Linked DNA regions of Oryzias latipes. The protein of the gene in region 2 binds, or shares a complex with, the protein of the main gene of each other region. Links are inferred from orthologs where the notes say so. Each region holds a gene or a part of one and is shown on either strand. Other genes may lie near its edges.

Evidence for each region.
Region 1: coro2a (region 2) and gps2 share a complex: the UniProt entries of both Homo sapiens proteins name them as parts of the N-Cor repressor complex. The link is inferred for Oryzias latipes from reciprocal best matches to the Homo sapiens genes CORO2A and GPS2.

Annotation. Positions count from the first base shown.
Region 1 is NC_019876.2:14,446,368-14,450,540, reverse strand, and holds the start of gps2 (G protein pathway suppressor 2), read right to left. Parts: upstream 2,802-4,173; 5' UTR 2,695-2,801; exon of another isoform or gene 2,635-2,694; intron 2,232-2,634; 5' UTR 2,208-2,231; coding exon 2,087-2,207; intron 1,538-2,086; coding exon 1,428-1,537; intron 1,335-1,427; coding exon 1,222-1,334; intron 1,150-1,221; coding exon 1,070-1,149; intron 958-1,069; coding exon 878-957; intron 4-877; coding exon 1-3. Other genes in the region: gabarap (gamma-aminobutyric acid receptor-associated protein), read right to left, coding at 4,146-4,173. UniProt on the Homo sapiens protein: Key regulator of inflammation, lipid metabolism and mitochondrion homeostasis that acts by inhibiting the activity of the ubiquitin-conjugating enzyme UBE2N/Ubc13, thereby inhibiting 'Lys-63'-linked ubiquitination.
Region 2 is NC_019859.2:16,876,795-16,880,306, reverse strand, and holds part of coro2a (coronin-2A), read right to left. Parts: coding exon 3,393-3,512; intron 1-3,392.

The DNA of each region.
Region 1 (4,173 bases), on a different chromosome or scaffold from region 2:
TCCCTAGAGATAAGCCAGAGGAAGTGAGAAAACCTGGGAAAAAGAGTGACTTGATTGACAACATTTGATTGACATTTTCCACAAAAAAAAATGTTTTGTGTAGTTGCTAGGCCACCAAAAAAAATTATTTTTCATACACAGTGGGATAAACACTTTAAAAATATATTTTCTGTATTAAAAAGCTGGTTTGGAATTTAGGTAGGGCTTTAGACTCTGACAAAAAGTTGTTAAAAACAGAGTTTCAGCGGTGAACCTTCCATTAACTTACTTTTATTTTCAAAATAAAATAGCTATAAACATGATAAATAGAAGTGCTCGAAAAAGGAGTGGGTACAAGGAAAATCTTATTAATTCCCACCACCAATCTTACTATATTTAATACATACATTTTTACTAATAAAAATTAAAAACATAAAATAACTGAAGGGGAAAAAATAAATAAAAGCATCTAGGAACCAAACATCACATTTCTCCTTTTCTAATTTATACATTTCCAAAATGTTCAGGTTGCACTTTTTTCTCCATTGTGTTTATCATTTTTACTCATTTTCACAGACAGAAATGTTGACTTTTTTGGGCTGTCCGTACACAAGGTTGTTTAAAGAATATCCTCCTTCCTTGTTCTTAAACAGTTTTGTTCTGTGGAGGTGGTTTTGTTTTAGCTTGATACATTTTTTTTGATTTAGAGAATAAAATGTTCATAATAGTCCACTTTATTATTTTTGGTTATATGCAAAGTGGCTATACGCAGGTTTTGTAGGCATTACTCGGGTTAGAACCGAAGTAAAGCAAAGCAGCTTGGCCCAGGCTTTTCCAAACAACAGAACTAAGTAAAGAACTTAACAAGACGTTTTTTTAACAGCCCACTTGTACTTACAGGGATCACGGTTGTTGTGTACAACTGTTTGTTTCTTTCTCCAAGTAGTGCTCCAGCTCGACTGTGGCTCACTGGACTACCTACCCTCAAAAAAAGAAATAAATAAACAAACAAAATGATCTTAGTGCTGAAATTAGCTAACAAAACATACAACCTTTTTATGAAATGTGTATTCATGGTTTAGTAGCTCACCTTGAATATTAAGGAGGTGCTGTCCTGTGTGCATGGGCAGGCTCTGTTGGTAACTGGCAGATGTCAGCGTTGTTATATCACTGATAACAGAAGGAGGCGCAAAATTACAAGAGGCATCATTCGTGGACTAAACAACTGTTGAATGAAAATACCTCTGCTCCTTTCTGCGCCTCTTCTCCTCCTCATGGAGAACCTTTTTGAGTTGCAGAAACAGCTGATGCTTTTCTTCTTGAAGTCCCTGAAGTTTTTCTCCCATTTTCATCACCTGACATCAGGGGAGAAATGTCATTAAAAGGAAGAACTAAAGAGTCAGTTAAAAATCCTAAAATAAGGGTCATCTTTGATGGCAGGTGCTCACCTGTTCTTTGGTTTCCTCTAATGACATCCTTTCCTCTATTTCTTTGGTTCTTTTCCTCTCCTCCTCCTCCTTCAGCTTTTGCTCCATCATTTTATCCACCTCCTCTTCCTCTGAAAGGTTACAGGGACAAGATTTAGCATCACCTGTAACACTTTCACACATCTGAAACATGATAAAGTTACTTGTAATGATAATTGTCAAGAAGGTCAGAGACAGATTTTAGAGACCCACTCCAATGAAAATTATATGTTTGGTATTTTAAACATGTTCTTGTGGCCTTTTTTTTTCATGATAGAGGAGATATATAATTTTTTTTTTATTCAAATCATTGTGAATCAGGAGTAGATGTAAAAACGTCATTGTAAAAAGCTCACAGTTTTGACATAGACCCAACAGCAAGCCACAAGCAGCCTGCTCTGCTCCATTATGAGGCCTCCACTTGGAGGCAAAAAAAATCCATGTGAGGTACTGTTGTTCTGCAAAAACTACGTCCTAGAAAACGATACAGACTTTTTGATTTAGCCTAAAACCGGCAGAATCATAATAAACTGGCCACTGGGAACGCTTTTAAAACAGATCAAGATTTGATTGGAGTGGGCCTTAAATGAAATCTCCTAGAAAATCAAAGAAGAATGATTATTTCTGTTCGGTTAACTTACTTCTCCTTTTCATTTGATGACACTGACCTTGTCTTTTGCGCTCCCTCTCCCTCATGATGTGCTTGTGGAGGGCTCTGGCCATCGCGTTGGACAGTTTCGGTCTCTCCAACAAGGCAGGCATGGTCACTGGTAACGGAGGGGCCAGCTGTTTTAAAGTTCAGAGGTTTAGTATAAGTGGGCTAAAAAGACTCAAGTAATTTTACTGAAAATTGAACTAAATAAACCTTTTAATCTGTTTTGGAAGGGTTTATACCGAGCCATGACCTAGCTTAATTTAAACAAGTACTGCGTGATGCTAGCCTGAACAAGGATAAGACGGCAAAATCTTTAAAAATAATAAACCCGCTAATCTAGCAGCAAAATTTAACATGAATGTTTGTGATAAGTAAGATACGTCCAAGACAAACATGCGTATATCTGTGTGCAAAAAGACCCAATTGTTAGCTAAAGTTAGCCACACCAGCTAAACAAATAAGTGCGCGACGGAGTTTATACTATATTATTTTAATGCTTGCTAACAGCTAATTTATTTCAGAAAAGATGCTTACTTTTATCGTTAATGTTGCCGTTTTTAAGAACCAGACTGTGTCGCCTTTTGTAATATCTACCTTTTTGCTTTTATCCGGCAAAACTTTCGGCCGCGAATATAAACAGAGGTTTTAGGACCGGGGGAAAGAGTTCTACTTCCGGTTAAAAGACACGGCTGCCCCATTTGCATCATGGGAATTTGCGTTTCAATGTGGAGTTTAAATTCAGACCAACACTTTTAGATCTTCTAAATCTAGCTTAAGTGGATTTCAGAAGTCACATTTTGAACTACAGAATTTAAAAACAGTATTAATTGTAAAATAAAAATGTTGCACTCATATTTTTAAATTTAAGTTAGCCTATATTTTGTAATAAGGACATTCCAATGCCCCCATTTTTTAATAACTTTCTCTATATTTACAGACTATATATATAACCTTTTTTTTATACTAACAGCCACGTACTTCTAAAATCAAAAGACCAAACTTACCTAGGTTTATCAAGAGAGATAAAATACTTTAAACATATTCCTATTTTTCTTTTGTATGTTTTGTTTAACTTTCATATCAAAGATAGGCAACAGTTTTTCCATTTAGGACTAGATCCCACCTTTTTTTAATGACCTTTTAATCTTAATGTAATTTTTTTACTATCCAGTAAAATCATCAGACCATAAAAAAAGTCAGGAAACAAATATCAACTTTCATAACATTTTATCATATACGATCATGAGTGGAGAGAAAGAGCCATTAATGCAGCCGTATACAGAGTTCTACTGTAAATCCTTTTTAAAAAATAAGAAACTTAAAAAGAAAATTACACTCAGCTTTACAACTTCTTTAGAAAGTGAGCCACCTAAAATTAACAATAATAACAACAATAATCATATTAGCTGTCAAAATAATTTTACCACTGAAAGCAGAGAATGATTGAGCAGTCTGAATCCTATTATAGTCCTCGCAAAGATTAAATATGAGGAAGGAAATACTAGTGTTTTGGGATTTAACAATTTAATAAAAATAAAGCTTACCGTGACCTCTTTAAATTTAAAATAAAATAAATCAAAAGGAAAAAAAAAAAAGATCACTACCGCTGGCAGCACTATCACTATTCTTTTGAAAATTATTGACTTTAAAACATAAACCAAAATCTTTTTCATCATCAAAGTCTTGTCAAAATTTGACAAGCACTATTTATACTTATTACCAGGCAGGGGTCAATTTAACTCAACAAATTCTGCCTCTGTTTTCTGCACTCAGAAGTAAATACAAGCGCATAGCGGTTGAGATTTTATTTTCACTTTTCTTTATCAGGCATTCTGTGGAGTACGATTCCCAAAAACCAAACCAGAGAAGGCAAATACAATTCAGACTGCAAAATAGAAAAAGTCATAAATGAATATGTAAAAGATTGTGTTTGTGAGAAGTGAAAGTGCAGATGACATTTACTCTGGGAACTCTACACTGCCAAGCTGGATTTTACTTTTTAAATGAATGAATGACAAAGGTCTCAGAAAGGTGGTTGAAGGGGATCACATTTCCCTTTGGCTGTTCCCATAC
Region 2 (3,512 bases):
AGCATTACTCACTTAAATAACATCTCCCTAGGACATTTATCAGAATCTTTGTGGGGCCACATTGTACTTTGAACGAACTATTGATTTCCACTCAAACATTAGAGGAGATTTGTGACGCTTTTTTAAAAATAAGAAACATTCTAAGAGCAGCTCCAGTTGGGAGAGGATGAAGGAATGTGACTGACTAAAGAGGATGTGCTGGTATTTGCAGGCCCGGGCATGCGCTTCCATCTTGCTTGCAGTGCACCAGACCATGACATTAACATCAAACCATTCCAACTGAAAGCAGAATTACACAAAATACTTATGACAAATACCCCACATTTGATCGTCCTATAACAAGGGAAGAGTCAGTTGGGATTTTCTGCCCCAATGAGATGACTAATTACAGACGAACACAACCTGACACACAGGCACACACCTGCAGACCCACAGAATCCAGAACAAGCAGAAAGAAGAAGACGTTCTGCTCTGGTCATGAGCGACACCTCCCCTCAGCAGGGAGCAACAGCATATTTGTGTCCACACAAAGGTGGTCAAGAAGAGGAGCAGGAGCGCCAAAGTTCCACCTCCCCGAGACAAAAAAAAGAGCAGGGGGGGGCTTCAAACCATGAGTTATGTCATTCCTAAGCTCCTATACGCTTTGTGAGCATGCCAGAGAGGGGGGGGGGCACGAACAGCAAGGAGGCAAAGCACTGAGAAGTGTTTGAGATTGATAAATCCTTTTAAATGAAGCGAACAAGTTCACTGTTGATGGGAACAGTAGATGGGATGGCTTGGATGAAAGAGCTGCTGTTGAATCCTGGTGGTGAGGAAGACAAAAGGGAACAATGCACAAAAAGTAAGAGAAACAAAGAAGAACAATAGAAAAGGAAAGATTTGCTCAGACGCAGGTCTTTTATTATCCTAGAGTTTGACTTCAGGCAGAGAAACCAAAACCTCCCACTCCGATCAGTTTTTCGTCTGCCCCTGATCTAAATTGATACCTTTGAGCGTAATTTTTTTTAAATATGCCCTTCATCATGAAAAAAACACCACAAGAACATGTTAAAAACACCAAAAAGGAGAGGGTCTTTAAAAAAATATAGGATTTCTGTCTACAGAGGAACTTTGGATTTTGGCAGACACCTAAACTGTAGTGGTGGCATCAGATTGCTTTATAGTGTTGGAAGCTCCAGCCAAAAAACAAGCGCGCCGTCATACTATGAGGTGCCTTTAACTTCACTCCCTTTAGCAGCTCTTATCGTTTTCTAACCGATCGAACGATGTAGAGCAGAAAGAGAAATTGAAAGTGAGCCACGATTTGTTTTCATTCACATAAATCCATCAGGTGCTGCCTGCTGGCTATCACCGTTCCCTGAAAAATCAGACTTGATGAGTGAGCATTTCCACAAAATAGGAGCTGTGCCCAAACTTGCAAACTCAACTCCATCTCCTTCGTCAAAAAGCAGCAGCTCCACCCGAACTGCTGTGTTTTTCCCACCAAGGCGACCAGCGCTGGATCCAGTGAAAAACCAAAAAGTTTTCTAATCGGTTTGCTAATTCAGGTTAAAAAAAAAAGTGGTATTAGGATTAATTCAATGTAGAAAATAAAATAAATTACAGGTACACCCCTGTTCCTCTTCTTAGGTCTGCAGGTGTCCTAAAATTCATGTCAAGGTTTTCTCATAAAGTTGTTACATGTTAACATTTATCTGACCTCACTTACTGAGTGGCTGCTACATGCCCCTCACTCTCCCCATCTGCCCTGCCCCTGCCACCCTGTTCAGCGCTTTACTTGACACATTTATGATTTTAAAAAAAACTACTTTTTTCAAAATGGCAGCCTTTCTGTTGGTTTTATCTCCATAGCAACCATTTTCTTTTTTTGTCGCTAAGGGTGACGGACAGCTATCCATTTTTAGGAGAATCTGCAAAAGTACATTTTTGGATTTCATGGAAACGAGAGTGTTTTTTTTTTTCAACTCCACCCACATTTCTAATAATTTCATATTGTAGGTTCAGCTTGAGTCAAAGACGACGTGTTACATTTCACAATATTTTGATAAAAATTGTGCGAACAACAGAGAAACGCCACTTTTCCAAGTTCGCCACGATAATGCTGTTTAAAATTGTTAACTTCTAATTCCAACATTTTTTCAAAATTAGCTTCCCAATGATGCTCTGGGAGGCAGGAGGCAATAGATTGATTGATTTTGATTGATTTTGATAAATTGATTGATTGATTTCAAGCATTAATTGAAGTCAATACAATAAAAAATTCACACAGATTTATTAAACTCATTACAGAAATCATGAAAAGCACAGATAAAAAAAAAATAAAACAAATAAAGACACACTTAAGTCACATTTGCTTAATAAAATATAGTGATCAATAGCTGAAGTCCAGGAGATCTTGATTTACAGTAAATTTATTGCTTAAAAAGGAGAGGGAAGAACCGACCTTATATAATCCCACCCCGACTAAGATCATACATTTTATAATTTTGCTGTTTTTGCAATTCTAGGAGGAGTTTAAATCTGTAGCTGGTACTTTTTCTTTTGAAAATTCAAGATGGTGGCCTGTGTGAAATTTGGGAAAAGTTTCCTTTTCTCAAATCAAGTAAAAATGTGAAAATCACCAAATCTGACACTGCCACAAAATGGCTGCCAGCTGTAGATCTTGTGTTCATCCCATAATTATTTTAAAACTTCCTTTGGACAAGCGTGTTTCAGTTTCAGAAGTGAATTGTGAATTGGTTTTTTTTTTTAGCTCCAAGAAATATTAGCGCCGTTCATTATTTTGACAGTTTTGCCCAATGTGATGTCATACTTTCTTTTCTTTCTTGGGGGTTCGGGGGTGGAGGTGGGGTGGGGTGGGGGGTGTGGGGTTGTTCACTAAAAATTCTTTTTCATTGAGCATTTGGGACTTGCACATTTCAGTGAGTTTTTGAGTTTGTGGCGAGGGCAAAATTTTTGTTTAAATTAAGAAGGAAGTATTGTGAAAAACAAAGCGGACCATAAAAACCCACAACCAGGTAAAGCGACCGAATAACCAGACAAACTAGTGGGTTTGGAATCATAAAATTTGAGAACATTGTGCAAGGCCACGAAGAGAATACCTAACAATTATTCCAGTGACTTTTAAAGCTCAGAGGAAATGTCATTTATTTTAATAATCAGTGTGGCAGCGTTCATGGAACAGCATTTCTGTCTGATGGAGGAACATAAATCTGTAACCCGTCTGACCTGCTGGCAGCTCCGTAATGATACGCTTGCCTCTGTGGACAACATGAGCTGCTAAAAGTGTTCTTTGAACACGTCAGAAACAAACTCCACACGAGTATGTCTTTAAAAAAAACTGTCCAAAAAAGGGTTTGGCAGTGTGTCTTGCACGGGACGCAGATACTCACATGATGCAGCGAGAACACTAGGAAGGCCCCCCCTCCGCCACATTCAGTGATGACGGCCAGGAAACGAGGGTTGACCGCACAGAAGTTGTTGTCCTGGACGCTGCGTGTGATCGGCACGCC